6 linked regions of the Neurospora crassa OR74A genome follow. The protein of the gene in region 4 purifies or fractionates together with the protein of the main gene of each other region. This does not show direct contact. Links are inferred from orthologs where the notes say so. Each region holds a gene or a part of one and is shown on either strand. Other genes may lie near its edges. The genes, in order: NCU04548, NCU01164, NCU07870, NCU02539, NCU09552 and NCU00133.

Region 1 (4,604 bases), on a different chromosome or scaffold from region 4:
AACTGGATAATGGTTGCGCCCGTCAAACAGGTGACACCGGCCATTTCCATCGAGTACCATCTAGATCCCTTTCTCATGACGTATCCGTAGAAACTGTTGAGAATGACCTTGTGGGCCAACTGCAGGGAATCGAACAAGATAATCATCTTTTTGGCATTATCGATTTCGGACGCGGATGCGCCCGAGCTCTTGAGCGAATCCGTCTTGCCCTTCCACACCTTCGCCTTGCCCTTGTAGTCGTATCGTCGGTCACGGAAGTCACGGACTGTGTTGATGTAGAAGGGGTTCTCGCGCTGGCAAATGATCGCTTCTCTGACAATCGTGGTGGAATCGTGGATCTTGTGGTACACCTTTTGTGAGTAGAGCTGCAGTCTCTTTCGGATGAGAGTGGCTTGTTCGTCTGCGCTCAGGTCTTGGAATGACCGCATCGGGCTGTTTGGGTATTTTCCTGGAAACCTCTCGTTCTCGAGTGCATGGCGAATCATGTTGTACTCGTCGCGCTTGGCTGGCAGGTACTCTCCTCTCCAGGCCCACGGTAGTCTTCTGTCACAAGTCTTTCCTGGGCGGTTGAAGTCGCATGCTGCACAAGTTGACTCGGAGATCATGGAATCGGGTTGTAATCGGTTGGTTGTCATAATGTTGGGGTACATGGAGGCGACATCAAGATGGTAAATGAGCGGCCGTTCCAGTCGATTGGGCGTCTCTTTGAGGTTCATCAACCTGGCCGTTATCTGCTCCTTGACCTCGTCGTAGTTGGCGATATCACTCAACTCCTTCTTCTCTTCAACCGTAATACTGAACGTTAGGGCTGCATCAAGATCCCGAATCAGCTCATCCACGGCGGTAGGGTCAACCGCGAAGTTGACGGGAATATCGGCGCGGAAGACGCCAGCTTCGATACTTTCGACGTGACCACCAACGTACGTTTCGGAGTCCAACAAGTGTCCTTCCCAGAAGGACTCCTTAGGCTGGACATGTTTATTGGGTAACACAATCTCCTTTTGGTAAGCCTGTACCATTAATAACATCTCGCATAGCGTACCGGTTCCCTTTCTTAGTGTATCGTCTGGGCCTAGCGGCAAGATGGTACAGAGAGAGAAGATGAAAGGATGCACATATTTCATGTACAGATAGTATGTTGCGACGGCATCGGAGACGGAGTATTCGGCCAGCGTCTGCGGCCTCTCGCTGGCATATGGTGTCATAAGCTCAGGATCGAGTTCATCGGGATCGTATCCAAGCTTGGCAACGGTGACGGCTTTGAGACCTCTACTACCCTGGGGGAGATAACTGTCACGGTTTACCCAGTGAAAGCAGTCCATGTGCACACTGTAGTTGCACTTGTACTGATCCTCACTGTCCTTCTTCCAGCCGATCTCGTGGTACATGTCGATGCCGTTGATACTGGCACGAGCCTCCACGAAAGGCCAATCGAAGAAGTCACCGTTGTAGGTGGCGATGACGGTTGGTCGGGCCTCCTTGATGTGCAGGAAGAATCTTTCGAGAAGGGCCTTTTCGTCAGGTTCGTTGAAGATCATAAACGGACCTTGGTACTCGGGTTTTGGTGTGTAGTCGAAATCAGCAATGTCTTCGGAGATAATCTCTCTATTTGTGATCAAGAAACCCTGGCCATCGATCATGTATGAGACCATCATGATCTGGTCAATAGCGGCGTCGGGAAACTTGAGGGGCAACTTGGTGGTCTCGATATCGAAAGCCATTACGACGGGATCGGCCATGGCCAAACGTTCCTCGTTTACTTTTACTGTCGTGACTCCATTCTTGGCCTCGACATGATACCATCTAGCAACTCGTATGTCTGTGGATGGTCAGCTAAGCACACACGCTGGGGAGTGTGCAAGGAGAACTGACCCAAGTCTATCATTACTCTCACATGGTATGGGACGTCGTATTCCCGGATATCAACAATGAAATCGCTCGCCTCTGCAAAACCAGCATTATGTCGTCGCTCGTCATTTCGTGAATCGTCATCAAAAAGATCAAACCCGCCGTTCGCTCTAATTGGGGGGGTATGTGTCAGCAGCGGTGATCAGCCTGTACAGATAACATGAGAGGAACCCACGATGCTACTTCGGCATATGTATCCATGGCATCCATGCCCTTTTTGTTCTTTTCCGCAATGGGCATGACATCGCGCTTGGCGGACATCAAGTCCTGCACGTTATGAAACCTCAGCTCCAAGAATGTTCGACGATAGCCCAGCAAGTGGTTGGGCATCTTGAGATCTTCCTTCTCGACCCGCCGGATGGACTTGACGCAGCCGCCACCAGGCACTCTCTTGCACCACTCCTCGACCTCGCCTTCGTGACCTTTTCGACATGCGACCAGAAAGTATGGCTCATATTCGACTGTGGCTTTGAATGTTGACCCGTCCTCTTCGATGAAGTAGCAGTCGAGTGCCGCGCGACCGCCGCCGCCGGGGATACGGGGGTCGTCGATGGATGTCGGTTGTACGTTGACCAGCCAGCCTTCGCGCTTCTTCCCGGCATCGTATCGGGCAAAGCCCATGTTCTCGTCGATCTGGTTCGCAAGGGCTGTCCTTTCCCATTTTTCGTCTGTCGAGGTAGCCTCGCCGCGGGCGCTGGCCGAGGCAGCGAACGTTCGTGTTTTGGATCCGCCATGGTAGGCGTTCTTGCCACCGCGACGGTAGCCCTTTTGAGGCTGTCGCCTTAGAGAAGTGTTGGGCATATTCGAAGAATTGGATTGGCCCTTGCGTAGGCCCCGAGATGTTCGTCTTGTGCTTTGGTCTGCCCTCCGTTTTCCGTCCTGTTCGGTAGGATCTCTCGATCCAAGAAAAGTCGGATGGAAATGGAAGGAGAGACAAGAAACAGGAATATGTCTTTTTCACAAGTAGGTTGACATGGAGGGCCAGCCAAGATTCGAGGTATGGCTGGCACAGGGTCCCTTGGTTTGGTGAAGAGAATGGGGTTGTGAGATGGGAGGCAGGCACTTCAATGTTTGGAAAGTCTCAGGAACCCATTAAAGTCGTTTAACTGGGAGACGCGCCAGACGCGACTACGTACGGTAGACGGTCCAATTTGTCTGACGCGCCGGGCGCTAAACGCACACATTGCCCACTAGTCAAGCTGATCGTTTCAGGGCACTCACAGGGCGTCAAGGCGCTGAACAAGGATTGGAGCGGTGGGGAAGTGGGCTGCCCGCCGGCAGACGCTCCCTCCACCTACCTCAGCTCGGGACACGGCCCCTCCGCCGGGGCGGGCATGCTCGAATCATGAAGCGGCCCGATCGGGAGGGACGGGAGCTTGGACCTTCCATTGTTGTCTCCGTCCAAGTTGCCGTCCATTGGATCTCCAAGTCAAAGCTACCTCTACCTAAGAAGGTCGGGCATTGTACGAGCTCGTCCCGTAGCCGGCTCCGAATCTGAGGGCGGAAGTGTAACTGATGTTACTAACTTGTGTTTGTTAGACGGAAGTTCTGATGACAATTGGAAGCTGAATCTCTACGGTAGCTCGCCTAATGTTCCCCATGTAAGTGCGTTAAAGTACCTGCATCTTCCCCGTAATCCCGCAAGGTCCCCACCAGGAAGAAAAAAAAAAGCTTCCCCGCGACACCTTCGGCCGCCGTGCGGAAGACGACGGAGAGAACGTCAATGAGCAGTCTCCATTGGCCAATTCCACTTTCTTCGTTTCCCTGCTCAATCCGTCACTTCAACTCACCATCACCTTACCGATACATATCGTGACTGCCATTCAAACACTGCAATCCCAGCAAGCGAATAACAACCAGCGACTTCCACATATATTCACACAACTACCATACACGCACAACTCCACACTTTTCTCTGCGCCCTGACAGAACTGCGCATTTTCGAGACGGAACACGAGAGAAACTGAAGCCCGTCCCATCAACAATCATCGCAAACCGCAACCATGACGCGTGACCAAACAACATCATCAACAACAACAACAACAACACCCACAAACCCCGACGCCGCCGCCCGCTCCTGGCTAAGCGGCGGCAGCGGCGGCTCTCCCCCTCCCCCTCCTGCTCCATTTGCGCCCTCTCAAGACCTCCAACAACAACCACCACAGTCCAACAACACCACACCACAAGTAGTCCCAGGCCAGCAACAACAGCAACAACCCTCCCAACAACAACAAAAACAACAAAAACCCACCACCCACTCATCCAACCGCATCTCCCTCACCGAAGTCGCCTCCACCATCTCCCCCTCCGACTTCCTCTCCGTGCACGAAACGCCCTGCGCCCGCCAAGGCTTCATGACAGGCATCGGCGCCGGCGCAGGCATCGGTGTGTTGCGGTGGATCATGGGCCTGCCCATCCCGAAAGCGGCCAACTGGGGTGTAGGGTGCGGGATCGTGGGGGCGATGGCGCAGTACGAGTACTGCCAGTGGCAGAGGAGGAAGGAGAAGGAGAAGATGCAGAGGGTGGTGGCGGTCTATACGAAGAAGCAGGCGGAGAATAGGGCCAAGGAAGCTAAAGAGGCGAAGGAGAAGAAGGCGGCGGAAAAGGGGGAGGTGGTGCAGGGCACGTCGATGACTGCACCTGGGGGCGAGAAGAAGAAGAGCTGGTACAAGTTTTGGTGAGGGGGGGTGAGGAGG
Region 2 (4,754 bases), on a different chromosome or scaffold from region 4:
GGGCTGGATGTACACGTTACTGCGGAACGGTACACCGTTGAAACCAAGGTCGCGGAGTGGCATGTCCACCTCAATGCCTTCGTTGCGGCCCGCCTCGGCAATCTTTTCCGCGAACGACTTGAACAGGCGATCCAGCTCTGCGCGGCGCCGGCGTTCCTCCTGTTCAGCCTCGAACTCATCCTCATCACCATAACGATACTTGCGCTTCCGATTGCCGGTCTCGTCGAACTGGATGTCGGTGGCTTCCCTGTAGAATTGGACATCCTTCGTCTTCTTCTTGTTTCCAATGATAATGGGATCCTTGAGGTGGATGTGGATGATCACAATCAACTCGTGCTGACATGGTTGGAAGAAAAGGTGGCGAACGTTGGAAAAGAGGATATCCACGCGTTGCGTTGTGCTGAGAGGTGACTGGTAGCGAATACCGTTCTGGTGAATTTCCACCTTACCAGGCACACGCTTGCCCTCCATGGCCGGCCGGATGAAGACATTATCCAATACGGCGGGCCGACGGTCTGATAGTTAATTAGTATGTTGCAATACAATTGATCCGGGAAAGCGACTTACTTCTGATTTCAACGAGCTTGTCCTGCTCAACTACGTCCTCCATATCCTTCTTCTCCTGCTCCTTCTTGACAGCGTCTCGTTTGAGGTTCGAGATTTGGTTTGCAATGTCAGCATACCTATCGCCATCGGTTGATTTGAAAGTCAAGCTCCTGACGAAGTGCGCAGATGCATCTTCGAAGGGCTGCTCATCCTTCCGACCCACACCCTGGCCAGGAGATAGGAAGTTGATTCTCAAGAATGACCACTCGCCCTCGTCACTCTTGCTTGCGTTCTTGATGGTGTTGATATGGAAGGGTACCGGCCTGCCCATAACAGGCAGTACTATGGTCGCGTTCTTTTGATCAATAACGATGCCCATATCCTTAACCTTGGGCGGGAATTGATTATCCCGCTTGTAAGATTCGAAGCGCTTGAACTTTTTGATTTCGACGCCATTCTCATCAGCGGTAGATTCGGCGTATTTGGCCAAGCCTTCCTTCTGTTTCTTCTGCGCGAGTTCCTTCTGATGCTCGCGACGTCTCTTGTCCGCGTCCTCATCTACCGTTGTATTACGCTCAGAGCGTAGACGAGTGCTAGTGATGTTCTTGGTTGCAACGGCACCCACCCTAGAGTCCCGCTTCTCCTTTTTCGGTGTGGGCTGTGCTTCTTCCTCATCTTTGAAGAAGAACGAGGTGGCATCAACATCGACAGGCGCCTCGCCAGTAAACACCACCGGCTCGGAGCTAGTGACACGGATCGTATCGGAAAGGATCAAGGAATAGACCTTGCTGTTCTTGTCTTGGGGGTTGGGGTTCTGGATATCACTGAAGCCGGTGGTCACAACCAGTGTCATGCCATCCTTAAGGGTACGGGTGTTCTTGTTGTTGAGAATCAAGGTCGGGTCCTTGTTCTCCAGGCCGATTCCAAAGCCGACGTTCTTAAGAAAGTGCTTCTCAAGATCGGGCTTTTTGGACCGCACAAAGTTGTAGGCCTTGGTGTAAACATCCTTGACAATGGCACCATCCCGGATCTCCTTGAGAATGAGGTTGTGGACAGCAAGTAGGAACTTGTAGTTGCTTTCTTGGGACTTGTTGGGATCGACCATGAAAGTTCTGGCGATTTGGGAGCAATAGGACTTGTATCTGAGACCCATAGCCGCGATGATAATTCCCGGGTGGAGTATATCATTGTCAGAATCAGCCTGCCACTTCAGGTCAAATTTGCCACCACTTTGGACGATCGGTCCCAGAATCCAGTCCAGCTGCTCGGGATCGAGGTCAGCCGGGAGCTTCTGTCGGTTGGGCAGCTCGACGGTCTTCCAAAACTTATCGTCTTCCAGTTTGTTGAAGACCTTATCGGCTAGTGCGCTGTGCTTGATCTTCTTATCTTGGTCGAGGATATTGGACATTTCGTCGAGGAAGTAAGGGGTCAGGAGGGCGACGCAAGCCTTGGACGAGGTCCGCATGGCACGAAGCTCGGTCTCATCCTTGACGGAGAAGGCGCCAGCAGACAGAGCCTGGGCAACGTCAACCTCCTCCACATCCTTGCAGTTATCGGCATAGACCTTCTTCCATTCGTCGATAAAGGGGCCCTTGGAGGTGTCCTTGGTAAGGACGCCAACCTTCTTCTATAACGAGCGAAAATGTGTTAGAACCGCACCGAGATGTTGATGTGCGCCCAGGATGGGATGTAACTTACGCCCGCAGCCTTGATGGCATCCGTAATTTTGATGAAAAGCTTCTCGTTCTCGGCGGCGTCCTTCCCCCGCACGAGGACCTCAACGGGGTATCTGCCGCCCTTCACTTGGTCGAGGTACTTGGCTATTAACGTGTCAGATAGTTTGTCCGCGTTCTTGGGTCGGGAATACCGGGCGAACCTTTCTTTTGGGTGGTGAGAATGTAGATGGTGTCGAGGGTAAACAGCATGAGGGTCGTCGGGAACTCGTAACCTAGCAGCCAGAACTTTACGTAGAGCTATCAGCAGCTGTCATTTGACTGGAATGGCCCGCCAGACGTACAGCCAGCGCACGCCGAGCGGGCTCTCCAGAGGGCAAAACTCACATGGATAGCGTTGTTCTTGTGAAACTCGGGGTTCTCGTCGACCTTGCCCATCAGGATGACGATGGAAGAGACGCCACCGAAGAGAGCGTCTCCGGAGCGCTTGTCGGCCTTCCAGGCATTGTAGAAGTGCGAGACGCGCTCCTGGAAGACCTTGCTGTCGATTTTGATGTCTGCCATGATGAGCGACGGCACAGCGGCGCGCGATTGAAGATGGCAGAAACAATCAAATCAGCAGAGGTTTGGGTTTGGGTGAAGTCGTGCTTTTGGCGAGGGGCTGCTTGCTCTGGTACTGACGGTGGCGGCAGACACCCTTCAAGATGACAGAAACAAGGCTACCACACCTCTCCAGCCGGCACTGCTAGTACTTTACAGTGCTTGCCAGCCGGGATCCGGTTCCAGGCCAAAGACACAAAAATTCCCGTGTCGCGCGTCGCTCACGTCACGGGCCACAGCTCTTGGCGCCCCTGTCCACTGCCTTCGCGTTAGGATGCCTAAGAGGTTCTGTTCTGTGCCTGAGGCAACTATATATGCTGGTTGCCACGGCAATGGTGATATTCCTGAAAGGTCTGTAGTATGGGAATCGTAGAGAAGTATATTGATGAATGATGGAAATAGACGAGCGTAAATGGTGTCGTCGGGACTTCCAACAACTTGCGATTCTGTTAACTTTGTAAGTCGAACTTGTACCTCTTTCTTTAGGTGCCCTGCAGCGAGTGCATGGAGATGAAAGAGGGACAGGCGGGACAGGGCGTGGAATGGAAACAGAGGGACGGGAGGGGTGGAGCTAAGTTTCCAATGCACAGGTACGATTAAACTAAGTCTTGGCAAGCGATGGAAGCTCTGGGGTGCCGAACTTCTTCCATTTAAATACTAGTAGACGTACTAACCAGAACTCACCTTTCTTTACTTCGACGCAAAGAACGTCCTCAGCAGCGATCAACCTAGAGCTGATACCCATGTCAACCTGAATGAATAAATGAACGAGTGATGGCAATCACTGTGCGAAACGACAGCAACACTATCTTCAAGAATAGACTCGACGGGCCCAGACACCGCGTACAAGTGCAAAGAGCAATGTCCAAGATGCCGCTCGGAAAACCTGTGATGTTTCACATCTATACTTGATAGATCGGCATTCTGGAAGATACCGCCATGAGATGGAAAAATTGGCTAACATCTGCCCGACGGGAAACTTTACTGAATGGTGGAAGACGACGAACTGTGCCCATCGAACCAATCACTTGTCCGTGATTTGACGTTCACTGCAAAGCGAGCTGCTGTACTGCAAAAATAAGTAGTTCCCGCTGCCGTCTCGACAACCATTTGGGCATCTTCTGGACCTTGGTTCGGGTAACTTAGACAGCACATCATAAGGTCCAGATCACTAATAGAAGACAAGCTGCCATCAGCACAACTTCCGAGAAGGGCCCTTGAGCTGTATCCTGCCCAGTATGAAGCGAGGACGAGCCTCCCACACCATCTAGTAAGTATCCGCACAATTATCTTGGATTCCTTTATCCGGCTGGTGATTCAGTCCGGTCCTCTTTGGGATCGAAACCGTGAATCCACCGGAGGCCACTCGGGGCCGGCCCATCGGCTGCCGGTACGGCGGCAGTTCCGCACGGACCCGACCGGAGCAGTGCCATTTGGCCCCACTTCCCCGGATTCAGAAGTGAATGACAAATTTCAAAAGTTGAAGTTCGCTTCCTCGGTGTCCAACACCACCACTCTAGGTCGATTTTCAAGATTTGTACATAGAAAGAACAGGGTCATAATAATACGTCAAAATGGTTCGTGAACAGTTTCAATCAGTCCAATCCTTTGTTTCGAGACAGTTGAAGACCTCATCGCGCATACCTACCTACGAACTACAGGCTTCTCCAAACTTGAGGACGGTTGAGACTAACACGGTATTCGTCTTATAGGTTCACGCCGACGCTTCCAACTTTGCTGCCAACGTCACCAAGGAAGAGGCCTACCAGCAGGTTCTTGACCAAGCTGAAGGTCTGTTCTATGAGCAGAGGAACTGGGTAAGATGAGGAACCAAGCCTGCTTGCACCACCACATCAGGAAGGGACAATGTCTAAAAAGGTGACCTGAATGATTGACATTCGTTAGGTTTGGTAAGTCGACGTTGGCTCCCACATG
Region 3 (4,590 bases), on a different chromosome or scaffold from region 4:
TTCTTGTCTTTCATCAGAGACTTGACCTGCCTACGTCGGCTAACGAGTGTGGCAATCAGCTTGGGAAGAATGCCCTGCGCCTGCTCCTTGGGAACCTCGGGAACAGCATCATCGTCCTCGGACTACTTTGCATTAGCTTGTGACGTCAACGGAGGAAGGACCCTGACTTACCAGTGATGTTCGATCAACTGTGGTAAAGCAAATGTTGTACTCTTGGATGATGGAAGGGTAAAGGGAGTTGAAGTCCATGACGAGAACGAACTTGTCATAAAGACCCTTTTCTGGCTCGAAAACCAAACCACCCTTGTATTTGTCCTTCTTCTTTCCTCCTTCTCCGCCTTCCTCTTCTGCGTTTTCCTCCTCGATGCGTTGCCGACCCTTGAAGGTCTGCTTGTCCGGGACGACATATTTGTTGCGGTGGAATTCGTGAAGCAAAATGTACTCGTTCCGCTCAGCACGCGTACCGGTAAGTGTTCTTGCCCACGAGTTACCAGCCAGGTTGGTGAGAACCTTGGTAAGAGGAAGAATTTGAGTCCTGAGTGCAAGAGCCGCGATGAAGTAAGTGTCAGTCTCGGCGTGGGAGATGTAGTCCATCAAACCATGTTTGTCAGCGTTAGCCCACGTCTTCAGGGCGACTTCGTTGTCGATATCCCTCCTACGACTTTCGCCTCCCAGATACAGACTGCACATCTCGGTCAAGGACCAGGTCTGGCACTTGGTCATTACTGATTTACCGGCATCGTTAGCAAGATCGCATAGCAGACGGCCAGACATTATCTGACGTTCGGCAAATACATTGCCACCCATCTTAACAATGGACGAGGGCCACTGAGAGCGCCTGAGTCTGCCCAAACGAGACCATTGATGTGTCTTTTTCTCGTGCAGCCGGTTCAGCAAGATGCTGTAGTCAACACCTTCTAGCTGGTGGCCAAGGATAACGTCTGGATCGACAACATCGATCTGTGCGAGCAAGAAATTCAAGATCTCGTGTTCCTGCTTGAAGAGCTTGAGCACACCTCTGTTTCTTTCCTTGGCAAGCGTCTCGAAGCCGATAGGAAATGCGCTACCGTAAGGTCTAACAGCGGTGAAACTACGAGAAGCAAGCTTGTCTGGGGGAGTGGTGTCACTGAGCGACACATCAAGGTAGACTCTCCCGCTAACCGCGAGAATCTCCTGCTTATTATCCTTAGGGTTGAACGCTGTGCGCATAGCCAGGCTTAACAACGTCAAAGGAGGAGGCTCAATACTCTCGGCGTTATCCGGGACCGACACCATGTTGGGATGTTCTACCAGGACCTCCAGCTTGCAGTGCGAAGCATTCCTCAAGGAAGTGAAGTCTGCATCCTCGATCTTGAGCCAGCAGGGGCCCATGATGTTCTTCCAGAGCACAAACTGCTCGAACAGAGCGGTATTGGTACCAAAGACGTGGGAGAAGGTTTCGCCTTTGTGGGTGGGTTCCATCGCAGGCTTGGTATATGGGTAGAGGAGCTTCAAATACTGGCTCTCCTTGGGAACGTCGGGAAGCTCGAATGCGTACTTGCGGGTGCAAGCCTTGATCTTGTGCATGCCGACATTCATCTTGGTCATGATTTCATCAACCTCGTTGTAGACGTCCATCATTTCCACCTCTTCTGTTGTTTCCTCGCCACCTCGCACACGGTACTTGCGCGGCAGGAAGAAAAGCTTCCGGAGAATGTTGTCAACCTTGACAAAGCAGCTGACGTAGGTTTTGGTCTTTTTGTTTAGGACCTTGCCAAACAAGCACAAACTGCCGTTGACCTCTGTGTAGTCTGTCCAGAACATGTTCAAGCTGCCGTCTTCTTCGATAGCGTCCTTGTAGTCAATCTTGCCAACGCTCCTGCCCTCGCTTTGTGACATGGATACGACATTGAGCTTCTGATTGATCTCGTTCCAGGAAGCAGCGTCGACCTCTGGCGCTGGTGCCCTTGCGGGTGACGAACTGGCCGGGACGGGCTCTGTCTTGAGAATCTTTTTGATTTGACGGGATGCTGATATGTTGACGCTGGCGGCTGTTACCGCTCCAGTATGGGCAACCTCCATCATGTCCTCATCTTCGTCCTCATCATCCTCATTCTTTTTGGGTTCCGGCCTGCCAAACGTCCTCCGTGTTGCTACTTTGGCGGCCGGTGAGGAGGGCATGATGGCGTCGCTCATAAGATAATCGGAGACTGGTGCAGGTTCGTCGTCCATAGCAGGCAGGTAGTCGTCGTCTGGTAGAAGGTCGTCGTCTCCTGCTGGGGATGATGCCCGATCATCGACTGTCTTGGCTCTCTTTGCCATGGGTGGCCGAGGTTCCCGTACCGGGGAGAGCACCCGGACCTTTCTCCTCTCGACTGATCGATCTCGCTTCTTGGATACTCGTGTGACCGGGACGGGGATTTGTGCGGTGACCTGGTCGATGAGGTCGTCCAAGAACTTTTCATCTTCTTCTGTTTTGATGACCTTTTGTTTTGGTGGGGCTTTGACGGCGCCTTTCGTGAAGTATTCGGTGATGTCTCTGTCGTTGGCATCTCGTTTCGCATCTTCATGTTCCTTTTGTTTCTTGGCTAAGAGGGAGGAGAACGAAGGTCAGTACCAGAACCAGAGTGCTTTATAAGTTGCTCCCATCGTCGGGTTTCAGCGTCTCGATCTGCTCACACTTGCGCGGCTTGCTGCCGGGTAGGCCTAATTCCTCCTCGCTGTCGCTGTGGTACTGGGGGAGACGGTCCCATTCTTCGCGGCCGTCGTCGGCATAACCCTCGCCATTGTCGTCAACCACGAAATCGTCCTCGTTCAAGCGGTCTCTGACGATTTTCTTGTACTGGTTCTCGTCGACTTCTTCGTAGAGCTCGTCGATCTCGCCGACGTCGTAGGTCTTCTTCTTGCCGGACTGGCGCAGTTCGCGCAGCTCAGCGTACTTGTCTCGCTTGGCTACTCGTCTGGACATTTTGACAGGCCGTTGTGATGTTGCCTTTAGGATTGGAGATTGGATGGTGACGAGACAACAGAGGAGCACCAGGCCAACACTCTGGAGAGAATGTCGACGGGGCCACCGTGATGTGGTAGTGTTGGTGACAAGAGTCGTAAGAGAAATATAGTGGGATTACAGGGTTCAATTGGTCCCCTCCAGTAACAAAAAGAAAGTCGCGTTTAGTTTCGTTACTCGTCGCGTACTTTACTGTAAACTGTAAGCGCGAACCCTTGTCCCCGTCACGGTCGTGTTTAAGAGGTGGGGCAGTTCTGCTGCTTTGGCCTAAGCGGATACCTAAGGAAAGCAACGTAGTGGCCCACGTACATAGTGTACGTACCTTTCAGCAACGGGGCCCCTGTCAGTGTACCTGATGCCGACCCCCGACCCACCGCGTCTCCACAAGTGCAAAAGGCCGCGGCAGGCATTTTTGTAGATCAGTCTCCAAAATTTCGGAATGTCATCCTAACTTTTGGCCATCATTCACGGTCTCCATCTCAGCATCATCCTCCGTCCAGAGTCCAGGGCAGTTGTGCGCCCGCCGCAGCAAAATACCAAATATCGATTTCTTCCCGGGCCATAGCTTTGATACCACATCGCCCAATTCTCAAAGTTGTCTAGAACAACAGGAAATCGTCACAGGAAACTCGACGATCCAGATACCCCACCAACCGACCATTAGCAACACAGGTACCTCGGCCCGTACCTCGCAGAAGAAAAAGATTCAAAACAATCAAGGGCAAACTCGGTTGTCCGCAAACCATGTTTGTGTGCCGGGCTTGTCTGCGGAAAGGCCTGGCTCCTGGAGCTTTGGCTAGGATAAATGCGCCTGCAGTTGGATCTCGTCTGGCCCTTCCAAGGTTAGGCGCACTTACACCAAGCCAGTCCACGACCACCATACGATCCTACCACTTGCCCGCCCTCAAGCCAAAGACTGCCGCCGATCCCTCCGTTACCCTCGATCTCGAAGCGCCGGAAGGGGAAGAAGATGGAGACGGGTCGGAAGGGAAGAGGAAGAAGAGGGACCTGAGCGACGAGCAGCGGAAGAAGCTGGAGCGCAGTGCGGCTTTACAACTAAAGCACTTCAAGGATCCCTTCCACATCGAGAAGCAGGTCAAGTTGACCCTTGACAAAGGAAAATATGAAGAGGCCCTTGTTCTCACCCGCAAGGCCAGCAAGAACGCAAAGGTCCAAGTCTCGTGGAACCATCTGATCGACTACCACATGAAGAACAAGCGTCTGTCTGCCGCCATCAAGATCTACAACGAGATGAAGAAGCGCGCCCAGGTTCCAGATGCCAGGACTTACACCATCATCTTCCGAGGCTGCGCCATGAGCGAGCACCCCAAGCAGGCAGTTGCAGAAGCCGTCAAGATCTACCACAGCTTGCTCAGGAATGAGCGCGTGAAGCCAACCACAATTCATCTTAACGCTGTCCTCGAGACATGTGCCCGCGCCGGCGATTTGGACAGCATGTTCACGACAGTACAAACAGCCAACGAAAGCACGCGCAAGCCCGACAACCTGACCTATACAATCATCTTCAATGCCCTTCGGGCCCAATTCAACCCACGACTGCCACTCGATCGGGATCCCATGCAGCGCGACCAAGAAGATATCAA
Region 4 (4,793 bases):
CGAGACTGGGTTCGCTGTCAGGGAAGGGCAATGGCTGGATGAGGACGGCACCACGGTGTTGGCAAGGCTTCTGGAGATTGATCTGGGCAACGATGTCAAGGGGGTGGCACATGGCCTTTTCGCTGCCCTCCGAGAGCTGGACAGGCGCGGCGCGGATGTAATATTCGTAGAGGGTGTGAGTGATGGAGACGATATCGCGGCGGCGGTCATGAACAGGCTGAGGAAAGCCGCTTCCGACATTAGAATATAGACGGGGTCAAACCCTATAGATCGCAAGGGAAAAGACTATAACTCCTGTTTTCTGCTAACCCATCACTTGTTGGCTTTTCGTGTCTTTTTGCTTCGCCTTTGGCTCATTACTCTGCCATAAAAAGGCTCGCCAAACAAAAGGGCCTGATACCTTTTTACGAACCAATGCGCCAACTTTACCTTGGTTGCTCCCATCCGCCACACTCCTTCCCTTGTCATTACCCACCCGCACATGCCCTTAGAGACCCTGACGAAGCCAGTCAGTAAGCTTAGCCTTGCCTAGTTGTGCCAAGTTGTTGACACCCTGCTCGGTGAAGGGGTCGAGGCGGCTGAGGTTGACATCGGCAGGCGGCGCCTTGCTGCATCGTTGAATGATGATGGTGGGATCGGTCTCGAGAACAACGCCGTCATCCACGATTTCGTCGATAGCGAGGGATACCAGATCGTAGTTTTCGACTATCGTGCGCTTGTCGATCGATTGCCTGAGTAGAAAGTCCGTGGTTAGCCAAATCATGTCCCATGACCGGCACCTTCACGTTCGCCATAAATACTCACTTGAAGAGCATATGCAAGCTGTCCCTAAGCGCCAAAAGTACGTTGTAGAGCAGAACTTCGTTCTCGTCCGCGCTACCAACGACGTAGATAGCAACGTCCGACTCCATCTTGTAAAGCACCACCTTGTTGTCGTAGAGGAGGATATCGCCCGTCTGCTTAGCTGTCTTCTGAAGGAGGCCCTTCTCGAAACGGGTTTGAGAAGTCTTGTCGGGATAGGGGTTCTGGGAAGCGCTCGAGGAAGCTGTTGTGCACAAGGTTCGGGCTGGTCAGCCTTACGGGAACATGCGACACCGAATAAGGGGTAAAAGGAGCGTCTATTGCGTACCGAGTCCGGCGGCCACTCCTGTTCCTGGTGCGCCAGCGGCAGCGTGAGGAGGAGTGTAGTATTTTGAGAATATCCGCGAACCGTCATCGCTGGAGAGGATTACTGTTGGAACGCAATTGTCAACATTGCTCGACGTGGCGCGTATAAGCCAGGACCCAGGAGCAGCGTGGTGCCTAGTGTACCTATAGCGTTGACGCTATACAGCGACATTCCTGGCGACATCTTGACTGGTTATCTGGGGGTTCTTGTTTCTTGATCAATTGCTGTCTCGAGACTGGTATCGGTTGGAGAAGGTCGGCGACGAGGGGCAACTCGACTTCAATGGGCGCAAGTGGGTAGGTATATAGTGGTTAGCTTGAACTCCAGAGGTGCTGCGTAGGTAGGTAGTGCTCACAATGACCAGGGGCAGGCGGTATCGTTGGTTACCGTGGTGAGCGTGGGTATTGTGGGGTGAAGCGGTCCCTGTGATGTGGCTTGAATCCAGAGCGAACACTCCAAGCGAGGCCCCACGGCGCGGTACGTACCTTACGTACCTGACAGTTCGCACTCAAGAGCAGCACTGCAGTGGCCTCGTCCGTCTCATTTGGGTATGACAGGGGTTTTAATGGGTCAACGCGAGTAAGCCCCCGCAGACACGAACGGCCGTGTAAAGTGCTTTTATCAGAGACGCGTGTGTCGCGACTGTCTTTTTTTTCGATAGGAACGTGATCCACCTTGCCCGTCCTGAACACGCTGCCGACCTGCCAACCACCTCGCAATTACAGAGGGATCGGGAGCCGCCACAACAACACTCCAGCGTCTCCATCCCAACCTGCCCGTCTTCTGTCCCTTCTTGTTGGTTTAGTTTCCATACTTTGTATTATCTCAACAAAACCACCGAGGACAGAGTAGTAAACATGTCTTCCCCAGCAAAGCGCAGAACAACGAGAAGCTCCCAATCAGCTACTCCCCGCACTACTCGCAGCTCGCAGGCTGGTCCTTCGAGCGCAACTCCTCGCCAGACACGCGCATCACAGCTTGCCTCTAGTCCCTTATTCTACGAGCCCTCCTCGCCTGCCAATGGCGCCGCCCCGGTATCTTCTCCCTTGAGGCAGATGAGCAATACCCAGAGCACTGCCCACCAAGGCAATGCGCCGAGCTCGCCTTTGCGCCAGCAGACAGAGACCCAGAGCGATGCTGACCGAACTCCTCGCGCAAACGGACGGAGCCAGTTAATTGGGGGTATGGCTGTCAACCAAAAAAAAAAAAAAAAGGACTACACTGAATGCTGACCACACTCCGCAGACTCCTCTCCCATCCGCTATGCCTCCAGTTCTAGCCCGGGCCGTCAGCTTACTCAACAGTCCGATCTTCGTAGCGAAAGCAGTCAGCTCTTCGTCAGCTCGCAAAGGTCCGTTGCCGGTCGATCCCGTCGAGGCGACATCAACGGGGACCCTCTTCGTACTCCCGCCCAGATTCCCCGCCGAATCATCCTCGACGACGCCGGTCGTGTGATCCGCGATGCCCCTGGCTCCGATGCCAACTCGTTTGTCACCAATAACCCCAATACCTCTGAGGCAGATGCCCTTGGTGGACAAAGCCAAGGTCTTGTTTGGGGTACAACAATTTCTCTTGACGATTCGTTCTCCGCGTTCAAGGACTTTCTCAGGAACTTCACCAGGAAATACCGGATGTGGGCAGATGGCGCGGACGAGGCCGAGACTATTGGCCATCCGGATGCGGATTCGAAGCCATATTGGGAGGCACTGGAGAATATGCTGCTGCTTGGTACCAACAAGCTGTATCTGGATCTCCGCGACCTCAAGTCCTACCCGCGCACCTTGAAGTTATGGCATCAGGCCCAACACTATCCTACCGAAATCATCCCGGTCATGGATCAATGCGTACATGACTGTATGATGGAGTTGGCGCAAAAGGAAATGGCCAGCCAAAGAGCATCCCAAAACTCTAGGACCGCTCCAGGTGCCTCACAAAGCTCGGAGCCGAACTTCCCAAGCTCTGAAAGGAGCGAGGAACCGCCCACCCCGCGGCCTGCCCAAACAGCGGCGCCCACAATTGAGGACCAAGTCAGCCAGATGGCGTATGTGGTTCGCCCGTGGGGTCTTGACAAGATCACCAACCTCCGTGACCTCAACCCATCTGACATGGACAAGCTTGTGTCCATCAAGGGTCTTGTCATCAGAACCACGCCGGTCATCCCCGACATGAAGGATGCATTTTTCAAGTGCAGTGTTTGTGGTCATTCTATAACCGTTCAGTTAGATCGTGGCAAGATTCGTGAGCCTACAGAGTGTCCTCGGGCTCGCTGCGCCTCCAAGAACTCAATGCAGATCATCCACAACAGATGTGCTTTCGAAGACAAGCAAGTCATCAAGCTGCAAGAAACTCCGGATAACGTGCCTGCTGGTCAGACACCCCACTCGGTATCCGTTTGCGTCTATAACGAGCTTGTGGACTTTTGCAAGGCCGGTGACAGAGTTGAGCTCACTGGTATCTTTAAAGTCACCCCCGTTCGTGTCAACCCGCGCATGAGGACGGTCAAGAGCGTGCACAAGACATATGTTGATGTTGTCCATGTACAAAAGGTCGACCGCAAGAGGATGGGTTCTGATCCCTCGACCCTCGACCTTGCCGAGGAGGAGGAAGCCCATGCTAATGGCCAGAGCATGGACGAAGTCCGAAAGGTCTCTCCTGATGAGGAAGAGAGGATCAAGGAAACTGCCGCTCGACCGGATATCTACGATCTCCTTTCACGTTCTTTGGCTCCATCAATTTACGAGATGGATGATGTGAAGAAGGGTATTCTTCTTCAACTGTTCGGAGGCACGAACAAGACCTTTGAGAAGGGTGGAAGCCCCAAATACCGTGGAGACATCAACGTTCTCCTCTGTGGTGACCCATCCACTTCCAAGTCCCAGCTTCTCTCCTATGTTCACAGAATCGCCCCAAGAGGTGTGTACACGAGTGGTAAAGGTTCTTCTGCCGTAGGTCTTACCGCCTATGTTACCCGCGATCCCGAGTCCCGCCAACTCGTTCTAGAGTCCGGTGCTCTCGTCTTATCCGACGGCGGTGTCTGTTGTATCGACGAGTTCGACAAGATGAACGAATCGACCCGCTCCGTTCTTCACGAAGTCATGGAACAACAGACCGTGTCCGTCGCCAAGGCCGGCATCATCACCACTCTCAATGCCCGAACATCAATCCTGGCGTCTGCCAACCCCATTGGTAGTAGATACAACCCTGATCTATCAGTGCCGCAAAATATTGACCTCCCGCCAACCCTTCTATCCCGTTTCGATCTGGTCTACCTCATCCTCGATCGTGTTGATGAGAAGAATGATCAGCGTCTGGCCCGCCATTTGCTCTCCATGTATCTCGAAGACAAGCCCGAGAGTGCCCAGCAGGCCAACGACGTCCTTGTGAGTTTTTCCCCGTCTGTCAATCCACACGAAGATGAACCCCAAACTAACCAACTCCCCCTCAAAAAAACAGCCCGTCGAGTTTCTAACCTCCTACATCTCCTACGCCCGCTCGCACATCCACCCGGCCCTCACGCCCGAAGCCGGTCGCGAGCTCGTCGATGCCTACGTCGAGATGCGCAAGCTGGGCCAAGACGTGCGCGCCGCCGAGAAGCGCATTACGGCCACCACACGTCAGCTCGAGT
Region 5 (4,590 bases), on a different chromosome or scaffold from region 4:
ATCGTCGCTTGCGTGCACGTACATCTCACTCTTGATCTTCCTAATCTTCTCCAGCTCCTTCTCCCTCCTCTTCTTCGCACGCGCAGCCAACACTTCATCCGACACCCCCTCATCTTCCTCGTCTCCACTACCAGCCTCTCTTCGGCGCTTGCGCTGACGCTTCTTCTGCGGCCTAGCGTCCGGCTTGCGAGCGGTAGGACCGCCGGGCGCAAAGAGAAAGTCTTCGTCGTCATCGTCACCGAGGAATCCGCGAATTTCTTCCTCATCATCGTCATATGCGGCACGCGTCCTGCGAGAAGCGGCGGCGGACTTGCGCCGGAGCTGGTCTTCGGCTGAGCCGCCGTCCTCAAAGGTGGGAGGGGAGAACTCGGCCTTGTTGATGAGGTCGATGGTATCTTGGATCGCCTCGGCGGTGTGGCTGCCTGGGAGAATCCAGGTCGAGTCGGGGGTCTCGTCGAGAGTAGGCGTGAGACGCTCCATACCGACTAGACGCATGAGAAGACGGAGGTGCGGGTTCTTGAACATGGCTGTGCGGCGAGCCTCGGTATCAGGGCGGATCGTGATATGTGGTGGTGCTGATTTGTTGGATCTCTCGTCGGCAGCTTCACCATCAGCCGCCCCCTCGGTAGTGGCTGCCATGGCCTTGTCTACGTTCTCCCATGCTTGCCGCTCACTCATTGCACTTGTCAGCTGATCCTTGAGCCACTGCAGATGCTCGACTTGCTGTTTGTCGATGAGTACGCTGACCGCAATGCCAATCTGCTCGTCGCGCTCTGTGGCTCGCTTGAACTCCAGCTCGGCACCAGGTCGTGGCGTAGTTGTGGTGACAGGCTTCTCATAGCCGTGCTCAAGGAAGTGCGTCGTGCTGCCAATCTTGGAAAAGAGCAACTCGGTGAACAACGCAGGCCGCTCTTGAAGCTTTTTGACACATTTCCGAATGATCTGCTTGGAGAGCTCCTCCCATTCCTTGAACATCGGCGAGCTTTTGTCGAGGGGCTCGGGACCTTGGACCATGTTGTAAAAGAGATTGATGATGTCTAGTCGGAATAGCATGATGCTCAGCTCGAGTTTGAAGGCAACGCGGTAGAAGTAGCGATGAGCGCGCTTCAGCTGTGCGTCGTTCAAATCCCGGTAGAATTTGGTGAAGGCGACAAATGTGTCGACAACACCCTGGGGAGCGAATCGAATGGCGAATTTCCCAAACTCGAACTTGCGCTCCTGAGTGACCCGCTCTGCATGTTGCTCATCGTCCCCAGAATCATCGGCATCATTGTCCTCGGGAACGCCAACGTCTTCTGCTTCCTCACCGGCGGCTCTAGCTGCAGCAACAGCAGCAGCAGCTTTGGCAGCCTTCTTCTTTCGGCGAGCTCGCTTCCGTGAGCGCACCTGCAAATCGACATTTTGCTTAGAGTAACCTTCTAAAATGCGGAGGAAAGTGTGGACAAGCTCGGTCGCGGCATCAAGATATTCGAAGCCTTGATCCTTGTATGTTCGAGCAATATTCGCGATAAGGTCGTGGGTTGTCTCCTCGTAAAAGAGACGGCTCAGGGTGTTTTCGGCAATCTCCTGGTCTTCCTCGTTGGGAGACTCTGACATCTCCTGGACTGTGAGGAAGATCTGGGTGTAACAGCGCATGACGGACGTGAGCAGTTGCCAATCCTTATCACTATAGGACCGGTCAAGCGCACGATTCATGGAAGCGAACATTTCCTGTTGGAGCACAGCAGCAACGAGGTTAAAACTGTTCACCTCCTCTCCGGCTGCGGACGTCGACTTCGACTCGTCCCTCTTGGCCTTTCTCCGCATCCGCTCGGCTTCGAGGAACCAGGCGACAAGGTAAAAGAACTGGCTCTTATGCTGGTTCAATGCATGCAATGCCTCCCGATCGATCGATTGCCTCACGTGCAGAAACAAGGGGTTGAAACCGGAGTCGAGGAAGTCTTGGACGAATGATCGCAGCTGCTGACGAGCTCTTTCATCTAGCGTCACCGGAGGGCCAAGGTCCTTGGGCTCCATCTCGGGTTTCCTCGCTCTTCTTGGCGGTCTGAATGTTTTGGAGTTATCCATCTTCCTCTCTCGCGTTTTTGCGTCCAAAAGAGCCTCTTGGCCAGATACCGTCACCATCTTGCCATCTGCTCGTTTCACCCAGATCATGGTCCCAAATCGACTGTGCCGAGTGGTGGTGGTTTTGTTGTAGGATTTTAGCATAGCAGCCTCCTTGCGCATCTCCGATGCCAGCTCTTGCCCCTTGGCTTTGTTGAGTTGCTTTTCACTGACGAAGAGCGAGCTGGGGTCAACTCTTTTTACAAGATGAAAGATGATTTCCATGATAACTACATCTTCGGTGCGGAAGTCCTCGCCCATGTTGGAGGCAAGGGTCAGCAGAGTGAGAAATATGTCTTGATACGAAAAGGCATCAATGGTTGCCGACCTGGATACCTGTGTCTCGTCGCCTTCGCATTTGACACCTTGCGGGGGTGCGATCATGGCAACGTTCCTCAAAAAGAAGAGAATGAGCTTGATGATGGCCTGGTCACGGGGTGTCCGCTCGCCGATAGGCATGGCCATGGAGGGAAGGGCTACCCTGACGGCGGTGTTGAGGATGGGTATCGCATCGAAGTTTATGATGGCGCGCTTGTAGCCAAGCTGGGCAAGCTGCAGAACGGGCATGTGACGATGGTGGTTGATGGTCATTTCGGCGCGCTCCTTCTCTATGGGCCAAGTAAGGGGCACCATGACCTCGAAACACGCCAGAGCAATACGGGCCTTGTACTTGCTGTCGGTTTCGCTTTGAGGCCATAATGTCAGGATCTGGAGCAGATCGCCGCCGACGAGGTTCGCTTCAGCCAGACATCTGGCGACGTCCATGCGATTGGTCTTTTCATCGTAGAATCGGATCCATTTCTTCAGGTCGCGCAAGACGTCTAGCGCTTCGTCACCGAGCTTGTAGCTTCCATCATCGTCCGCGCTGTAACCACCGAGCTATTCGGGTCGCCAGAGTCAGTACATCCGTGTATATAACGAGTCCAGAAGTGGACATACCGCAGAAACCAGGTTGGTGATGTGCGCCCGCACTTCCGGATGGACGACATCGTCGTTGATGTCTGCGGCCTCCATTTTGCGCAGAAATCACGGCGTCCAAGACCAGAACGGAGTCATACGAGTACTAGACAGACTCTCCCCAACTCTCAGCTTGTCTTGGAGGTCGTTTTGTTATCGCATGGATGGTGGCATTGGTCGGGCGCACTTTGTCGGGACGGGACACGCGTTTGTGGTGGTGGGAGACGCGCCGACCGTGTCGTACTTTTTAATGGAAATTGGTGGTATCTTGGTCTTGGCCTGCTTATCTCCCCAAGCGTTTTGTCGGACTGTTTTAAGATACCTGGGTAAGTAGGTACCTAATGTACCTAGCTACCTACTAGAGATACCTCTGCAGCAGTACCTGTGCACCCCGATTTCGACCTCGTGGAGAGCTGCGGAGTTACCCCTGTGGACGGGCAATCAACGACAGCCGAGGATCTTGAGTTGGCGCGGGAATCATGCCCGCAATTGCCCCCCCTGAACGACATGCTTGTACCTCTAGGTAGCGTACATAGTACTCCATACGCGCTAAAACCGACCCCATTTTCCCCGCCTAAGAAAAGGCTAGAGCCGCCCGTAGCTCCTGTACGGCAGTATGTTATGTCCCCCCCGTGGCCCGGGTCGGGCTTGTGACGTCGAGTTGGAGACGAGGACGGCCGAGGTTAACCGAATCCGACAACTTCACATCGTCGCATTCGCATTCTCTAGAGGTGCCCTGGTTGCCTACCTAGGTGTAGTCTTCCGATTTTTCTGTCCCTTTCCTTTCAGTCTCTCTCAGTCACAGTGTCTGCTTTGTTTACTTTCGCCGTGACGATCTCGCAAAATGCTTGCTAGAACCCTCGTCCAGAAGCTGCCCATGGGCGCTCGCGCCTTCAGCTCGACATGCGCCCGCAACGCTGCCGAGGTCAAGAGGCTCGGTGTCGTTGGCGCCGGCCAGATGGTGAGTCCGGCCCATATCATTCATGCCCATGTCTTCAACAACGGCAACGGCTGACTTGTCCTCCTTCTCCTTTAGGGCCTGGGCATCGCCCTCGTCGCCGCCACCAAGGCCAGAGTCCCCGTCACCCTTGTGGATGCCTCTGAAACGTCTCTAGACAAGGGCCTTGCATTCGCCGACAAGCTCCTCAGCAAGGATGTGGCCAAGCAACGCATCACTCAGGATGAGGCGGACGCCGCCCGCGCGCTCCTCCAGCCCACCACCATCCTCGAGGACCTGGACAGCGTCGATTTTGTGATTGAAGCTGTGCCTGAGATTCCCAAGCTCAAGTTCGACATCTTCTCCAAGCTGGCCGAGATCTGCCCTAAGCACGCCATCTTAGCCACCAACACCTCTTCCATCTCCATCACGCGCATCGCCGCCTCAACCACCAAGGACCCCAACGACACCTCCAACAGCTCGCGCGTCGTGTCCACGCACTTCATGAACCCCGTGCCCGTTCAGAAGGGAGTCGAGATCATCAGCGGTCTGCAGACCAGTCAGGAGACGCTTGACACGGCCGTCGAGTTTTG
Region 6 (4,828 bases), on a different chromosome or scaffold from region 4:
CTGTACCACTCGTATTCTGGCTGCGACCTTTGGCCGCGCGAAGAGTACCGAGTCGGCTGCCCTCAAGCAAGCTGTCCAGCCAGGGTAGGCCTCCCACAGTCTGTCGGCCGATATACGTTACTTCTCCCTTTCCTTCTTGCTTCTTCGTTTCAGGTTCATTCTCGCTTTCGGAATCCGGCAACATACCCAAGTCTTCCAGGTCCGCTAGATCTTCTGGATGCAGGCTGCCCAACGATAGCTGGATAAAATCAGCTTCGCTACGAGGTTCCTCGGACCAGTAAGACAAGGGGGTGCCGCAATAACCGCAAAAGTGGCGCATAGAATGCTGTTCAAAGGGCGAAGTGTAGGCGCGATGGATCATCGACGTCCTTTCGTCGGGAGAAAACGAGAGCGTCGAGCTATGGTACCATGGCAAAGGTACCCGCAGGAAAGCAGCCAATGGTGAGGCATGGGAGATATCTGCATTGGCAACATTTGGTCAGATGATCTATACTCCTAGCAAAATGGAGATAGTGATCGGAATTTCCTGAGAGTCAGTATCGCTGGACAGGTTCCTACATTGAGAAGGCGGTGGGTTGAAGATGACTTGCGCCGCCTGTGTAGTGGTTTGCGGAAACTGGATGATGTAACGATTGCGGCCGCATTGGCAGCCACCACGGAGGGGACGCTCGAAGCTCATCTTTGAAAAGGTGTAGAAACAACAAGGCAACAAGAGTGATTGATGGTGGAAAGATTGATTCAAGCTTCGTTGGGATCCTTGGGGGGCCAAGTAAGTGTGCAAGTCGGAAGTTCGGTATACTAATAGCTCCAGCTAAGGTTCAATTGAAGCAGGCAAACAAACGGCCCAGGCAACAAAGGAGAGCTTCGTTCTGTTTGAATAAAGAAACCGAGCGAAATATGACGATCAGGGCAGACGAGTGACGGAAGGAAGTCGAGGCGGGGCAGCTTGAGCGGGTGTGCGGGATGCCACCAGTTCAAGCATGTAATACGTCAATCGTGGGGTGGCGTATAAGTGCCCCTCGTGGTCTCCAGGTCAAGGCCGCAGGCAGGAACGTCTACGACGGGAATTGTCACCTTCGGTGAGCGAGTCTTCCGCCCTTGTGAAACAGCCAATGGGCACAACAAGAACGAACTAACTTGAGAGTTATGTTTGTGTTCAAGGGAAGAAAAAGAAAGAGATCAAGAAGTGGTACAAGGCAGAGAACATTACCACTTAAGGTGACTAAGTACCTCTAATACAATCCCATGTCATGAAACAGGCGCGGAAGATATCATATGCAACCACTTAAAGCTCCACGCGCTAGCCCCACATGCTTTTTGGGGGGTTGACGATATTGGGAATCGCGCCCATGTCCATGAACCGAAGCTATGTTGAGTTTGTTTAGTAGATTGAGAGTGGCAACCCAAGTGGCATATTTGGAACCAGTTGAAAGCTTCAAAATGCTCTGACCAAACAAGGAACGCTTGTCGCGAGGGGACACTTTTCCCACGTAACGAAGCGACTCGCTTGGAACGTCCTCTTTCCCTCCCGTGTTCAACGGGCCGAGCACTAGCGGAACGAATACAAGCAAGAAGGAGCGAGATACAAAGAATTCAAATGTGAAAAAACCACCCAACATAATTGTTGATCCGTAACTACAAGAGAATGGAAGGTGTTGTGTTACTGTAGATCGCGACAGATTGGAGGACAAGAGGACGCAGTTTCTTTTAGACATTCAAGATGATACAAACAGTGAATGACTCTCAGAGCGACAAGAAGGCCTGTGTGTCGTTGGCAAAGCTTCCTTGGAAGGTGACAACTGAATAAAGTGGTGGTGTTCTTGCAGGCTTGGGAGAGAAATCAGAAGCTCACAGTTGCCACGCGCTACAACCAAGCTGTTGCCCACTGCGTAGACCCTACACGTACAGTAGTACTGCGACTTGCCACCTGCCACCAGCATGGGTCGTCGCCTAGCCCAGCGGAATGCCACCTGCCAGCCGAATTAACCTTCAATTAACGAACTGGCCTAGTCGCGACACGGTCAACTTTCTCCGAGGCACGCGAACCTTCAGTTGGATTGTTCATCAGTATTTGCTTGCAACACTTTGCAATCACTGCCACAACATCAGACGCCATTTCCAACTTGTCCATCAACCCCAACTCACCATTAAACCAGTTGGATAGAGGGGCAATATGGCTGCCATGTAAGTCGCATACCTTTCTGGATTTCATGCTTTCGCGCGCTCTTGCTCGTCTAACCCTGCGACGACGGATGTGCCCCGCTCCATCTACGCCGTAGGGCACGGCTTTCACCGGCGGAGATCACAGCTCAGTGCCATTTCTAATACCTTCATTTACAGCGAGAGTTTTGACAATATCTACTTGGATCTGTCCAAGGAGAGCGGAAAGTCGAGATTCGCGGAAAATGGCTTGGGATGGAAACCTGCGGGTGGCGGCGAAGCGTTCACTCTCGACTCGAGCAACATCGGCGGTGCTCAATGGAGCAGGGCGGCGAGGGGCTATGAGGTTAAAATCCTATTGCGAAGCTCTGGCGTAGTTCAGCTCGATGGTTTCCACCAAGAAGTACGAAACCTATCCACGCGCCATCGAAGCGAAGGAACGCTGACGTGTTGCCACAGGATTACGAGCGCCTTAGCAAGATCTTCAAGAACTGGTACAGCGTGAACCTCGAGAACAAGGAACACTCTCTGAGAGGATGGAACTGGGGCAAGGCTGAGTTTAGCAAAGCCGAGCTCACTTTCAACGTCCAAAACCGACCGGCCTTTGAGATTCCTTACTCCGAGATTTCCAATACAAATCTTGCCGGAAGGAACGAAATCGCAGTCGAGTTCGCCGGCAACGATGGCGGCAAGTCGAACGGTCACAGCGGAACAGGCGGAAAGGGCAAGAAGGCGTCGGCCGGCAAGGATCAGCTGGTCGAGGTGCGCTTCTACATCCCTGGAACGACAACACGAAAGGAGGCCGAGGGTGGTGAGGCTGGTAGCGACGCCGATGAAGAAGAGAAGAACGCCGTGACTCTGTTCTACGACACCCTTATTGAGAAGGCCGAGATTGGTGAGACGGCGGGTGATACTATCGCTACATTCCTCGATGTGCTACATCTCACGCCCAGGTACGTGGAAACTGCACGCTGGTTGTTGATCCTTTTCCGGTGCTAACTCTCCCGATAGAGGACGTTTCGACATCGACATGTACGATGCCTCCTTCCGTCTCCGTGGCAAAACATACGACTACAAGATCCAATACGATGCTATCAAGAAATTTATGGTGCTTCCCAAGCCGGACGATCTCCATTTCTTGCTTTGCATTGGTCTCGACCCGCCCCTTCGTCAAGGTCAAACACGTTATCCATTTGTGGTGATGCAGTTCAAGGCGGACGAAGAGGTGACTCTTGACCTGAACATCACCGAGGAGGAACTCAACGGAAAATACAAGGACAAGCTTCAGAGCCACTACGAGCAACCACTTCATCAGGTTGTGGCGTACATTTTCAAGGGACTTGCGAACAAGAAAGTCACTACACCAGCCAAGGACTTTACAACGTGAGTTATATCTGTTCATTTCATAGCCAGCAACGGTACTGACCTAGGAACCCGCAGGCACCGTCAGCAGTACGGCATCAAGTGCTCTATCAAAGCCAGTGAAGGATTCCTCTACTGCTTGGAGAAGGCGTTTATGTTTGTCCCCAAGCCGGCCACGTACATCTCATACGAACAGACACAGTCCATCACGTTTTCACGCGTGGGCGGTGCGGTCTCGGCATTGTCGACGTTCGACATTACAGTCCACATGAAAAACGGCGCGGGCTCATCCCAATTCAGCAACATTAACCGTGAAGACTTGAAGGCTCTCGAGGAATTTTTCAAGCTCAAAGGACTGCGTGTCAAGAACGAAATTGATGATGACACCAACCTTATTGCCGCCGCCTTGGGCGATGACGACATGGCTAGCTCGGACGAAGAGGCCGTCGGCCCCAAGGCTGATCGTGGCTCCGCTGACGAGGATGAGGAGAGCGTGGATGAGGACTTCCAGGCTGAGTCCGAAAGCGACGTGGCGGAGGAATACGACAGCAACCATGAGAGTGATGGGTCGGGCAGCGAGGAGAGCGACGTCGACAATCGGGTCGATGATGAGGATGAGGATATGGATGATGACGAGGGAGAGAAGCGCCCCAAGAAGAAGAAGAAGACGGCTTAGGTTTATTTTTCATGTTGGCGCGTCGTTACTTGTTTGATTAAAAAGGCAGATCACAGGCTGGAAGGCAGGCAGGCAGCTGGGTATTTGGGGCGTTCCGGTACTTTCGTGACACGAATATGTGTTAATTCTGTATTTTCTCTACCATATATCGATACGATACTTGGGGCGTCAAAGACGACATTCCCAACGGCAGTGTCAAACTAGTATCTCGATGTTCCCTCAACTTGGGCGCGCAATGGAGCTAATGAACACTGAAGAGCGGCAGGCAGATGGTCAGCTACCTAGTTGATCCGTTATGGTTCTTTTTTTTCCCCTTCGACTACAACGAACATAAGACATCGGCACATCCTTTGAGACTTCGCTTCTTCTTCAGGGCCGCAGGATGGATAGAGGCCGTACTCCAAAAGTACGGCATGGAATGTATCAGCCTGCAGGGCGTGCAGGCGGTTGAGGTGGGTATCGCTCTAGCGGTCAAAAATCTACCTACCTGGTAGGTAGGTACCTACCTCTATGCGTTCCCGCTCTGTCTACACTACACTAGGATGCACATTCCTTCTAGTGTACATAGTGGTGCCCTGCGTGGCCCGGTGGGCACTTCGGTTGATGCGGAGCGGTCCCTGCTGAGTGCGC

The links.
Region 1: the proteins of NCU02539 (region 4) and NCU04548 purify together in Saccharomyces cerevisiae (affinity purification with western blotting; 3 studies listed by BioGRID, with this or other methods). This does not show direct contact. The link is inferred for Neurospora crassa OR74A from reciprocal best matches to the Saccharomyces cerevisiae genes MCM4 and POL2.
Region 2: the proteins of NCU02539 (region 4) and NCU01164 purify together in Saccharomyces cerevisiae (affinity purification with mass spectrometry; 4 studies listed by BioGRID, with this or other methods). This does not show direct contact. The link is inferred for Neurospora crassa OR74A from reciprocal best matches to the Saccharomyces cerevisiae genes MCM4 and SPT16.
Region 3: the proteins of NCU02539 (region 4) and NCU07870 purify together in Saccharomyces cerevisiae (affinity purification with western blotting; 7 studies listed by BioGRID, with this or other methods). This does not show direct contact. The link is inferred for Neurospora crassa OR74A from reciprocal best matches to the Saccharomyces cerevisiae genes MCM4 and POL1.
Region 5: the proteins of NCU02539 (region 4) and NCU09552 purify together in Saccharomyces cerevisiae (affinity purification with mass spectrometry, with the first as the bait; 3 studies listed by BioGRID). This does not show direct contact. The link is inferred for Neurospora crassa OR74A from reciprocal best matches to the Saccharomyces cerevisiae genes MCM4 and TOF1.
Region 6: the proteins of NCU02539 (region 4) and NCU00133 purify together in Saccharomyces cerevisiae (affinity purification with western blotting; 6 studies listed by BioGRID, with this or other methods). This does not show direct contact. The link is inferred for Neurospora crassa OR74A from reciprocal best matches to the Saccharomyces cerevisiae genes MCM4 and POB3.

Annotation. Positions count from the first base shown.
Region 1 is NC_026507.1:1,471,127-1,475,730, reverse strand, and holds the start of NCU04548 (DNA polymerase epsilon), read right to left. Parts: upstream 2,970-4,604; 5' UTR 2,710-2,969; coding exon 2,084-2,709; intron 2,019-2,083; coding exon 1,873-2,018; intron 1,820-1,872; coding exon 1-1,819. Other genes in the region: NCU04549 (hypothetical protein), read left to right, coding at 3,912-4,589. UniProt on the Saccharomyces cerevisiae protein: Catalytic component of the DNA polymerase epsilon complex which participates in chromosomal DNA replication.
Region 2 is NC_026505.1:3,095,735-3,100,488, reverse strand, and holds the start of NCU01164 (transcription elongation complex subunit), read right to left. Parts: upstream 3,347-4,754; 5' UTR 2,784-3,346; coding exon 2,607-2,783; intron 2,508-2,606; coding exon 2,423-2,507; intron 2,367-2,422; coding exon 2,245-2,366; intron 2,174-2,244; coding exon 568-2,173; intron 516-567; coding exon 1-515. Other genes in the region: NCU01163 (GAF domain nucleotide-binding protein), read left to right, coding at 4,394-4,396, 4,532-4,636, 4,725-4,729. UniProt on the Saccharomyces cerevisiae protein: Component of the FACT complex, a general chromatin factor that acts to reorganize nucleosomes. The FACT complex is involved in multiple processes that require DNA as a template such as mRNA elongation, DNA replication and DNA repair.
Region 3 is NC_026503.1:1,182,100-1,186,689, forward strand, and holds the start of NCU07870 (DNA polymerase alpha catalytic subunit), read right to left. Parts: upstream 3,123-4,590; 5' UTR 2,948-3,122; coding exon 2,659-2,947; intron 2,568-2,658; coding exon 172-2,567; intron 123-171; coding exon 1-122. Other genes in the region: NCU07871 (hypothetical protein), read left to right, coding at 3,731-4,590. UniProt on the Saccharomyces cerevisiae protein: Catalytic component of DNA polymerase alpha, which in complex with DNA primase (DNA polymerase alpha:primase) constitutes a replicative polymerase. POL1 has a role in promoting telomere replication during interaction with CDC13.
Region 4 is NC_026501.1:2,663,697-2,668,489, forward strand, and holds the start of NCU02539 (cell division control protein 54), read left to right. Parts: upstream 1-1,815; 5' UTR 1,816-2,025; coding exon 2,026-2,350; intron 2,351-2,413; coding exon 2,414-4,548; intron 4,549-4,621; coding exon 4,622-4,793. Other genes in the region: NCU11234 (translation initiation protein Sua5), read left to right, coding at 1-250; NCU02538 (coatomer zeta subunit), read right to left, coding at 488-731, 805-1,045, 1,130-1,231, 1,312-1,351. UniProt on the Saccharomyces cerevisiae protein: Acts as a component of the MCM2-7 complex (MCM complex) which is the putative replicative helicase essential for 'once per cell cycle' DNA replication initiation and elongation in eukaryotic cells.
Region 5 is NC_026505.1:4,563,666-4,568,255, forward strand, and holds the start of NCU09552 (topoisomerase 1-associated factor 1), read right to left. Parts: upstream 3,287-4,590; 5' UTR 3,118-3,286; coding exon 3,043-3,117; intron 2,983-3,042; coding exon 1-2,982. Other genes in the region: NCU09553 (3-hydroxybutyryl CoA dehydrogenase), read left to right, coding at 3,905-4,021, 4,097-4,590. UniProt on the Saccharomyces cerevisiae protein: Forms a fork protection complex (FPC) with CSM3 and which is required for chromosome segregation during meiosis and DNA damage repair. FPC coordinates leading and lagging strand synthesis and moves with the replication fork.
Region 6 is NC_026503.1:2,735,648-2,740,475, forward strand, and holds NCU00133 (FACT complex subunit pob-3), read left to right. Parts: upstream 1-1,926; 5' UTR 1,927-2,173; coding exon 2,174-2,184; intron 2,185-2,340; coding exon 2,341-2,563; intron 2,564-2,619; coding exon 2,620-3,113; intron 3,114-3,171; coding exon 3,172-3,543; intron 3,544-3,600; coding exon 3,601-4,198; 3' UTR 4,199-4,462; downstream 4,463-4,828. Other genes in the region: NCU00132 (hypothetical protein), read right to left, coding at 1-459, 559-679. UniProt on the Saccharomyces cerevisiae protein: Component of the FACT complex, a general chromatin factor that acts to reorganize nucleosomes. The FACT complex is involved in multiple processes that require DNA as a template such as mRNA elongation, DNA replication and DNA repair.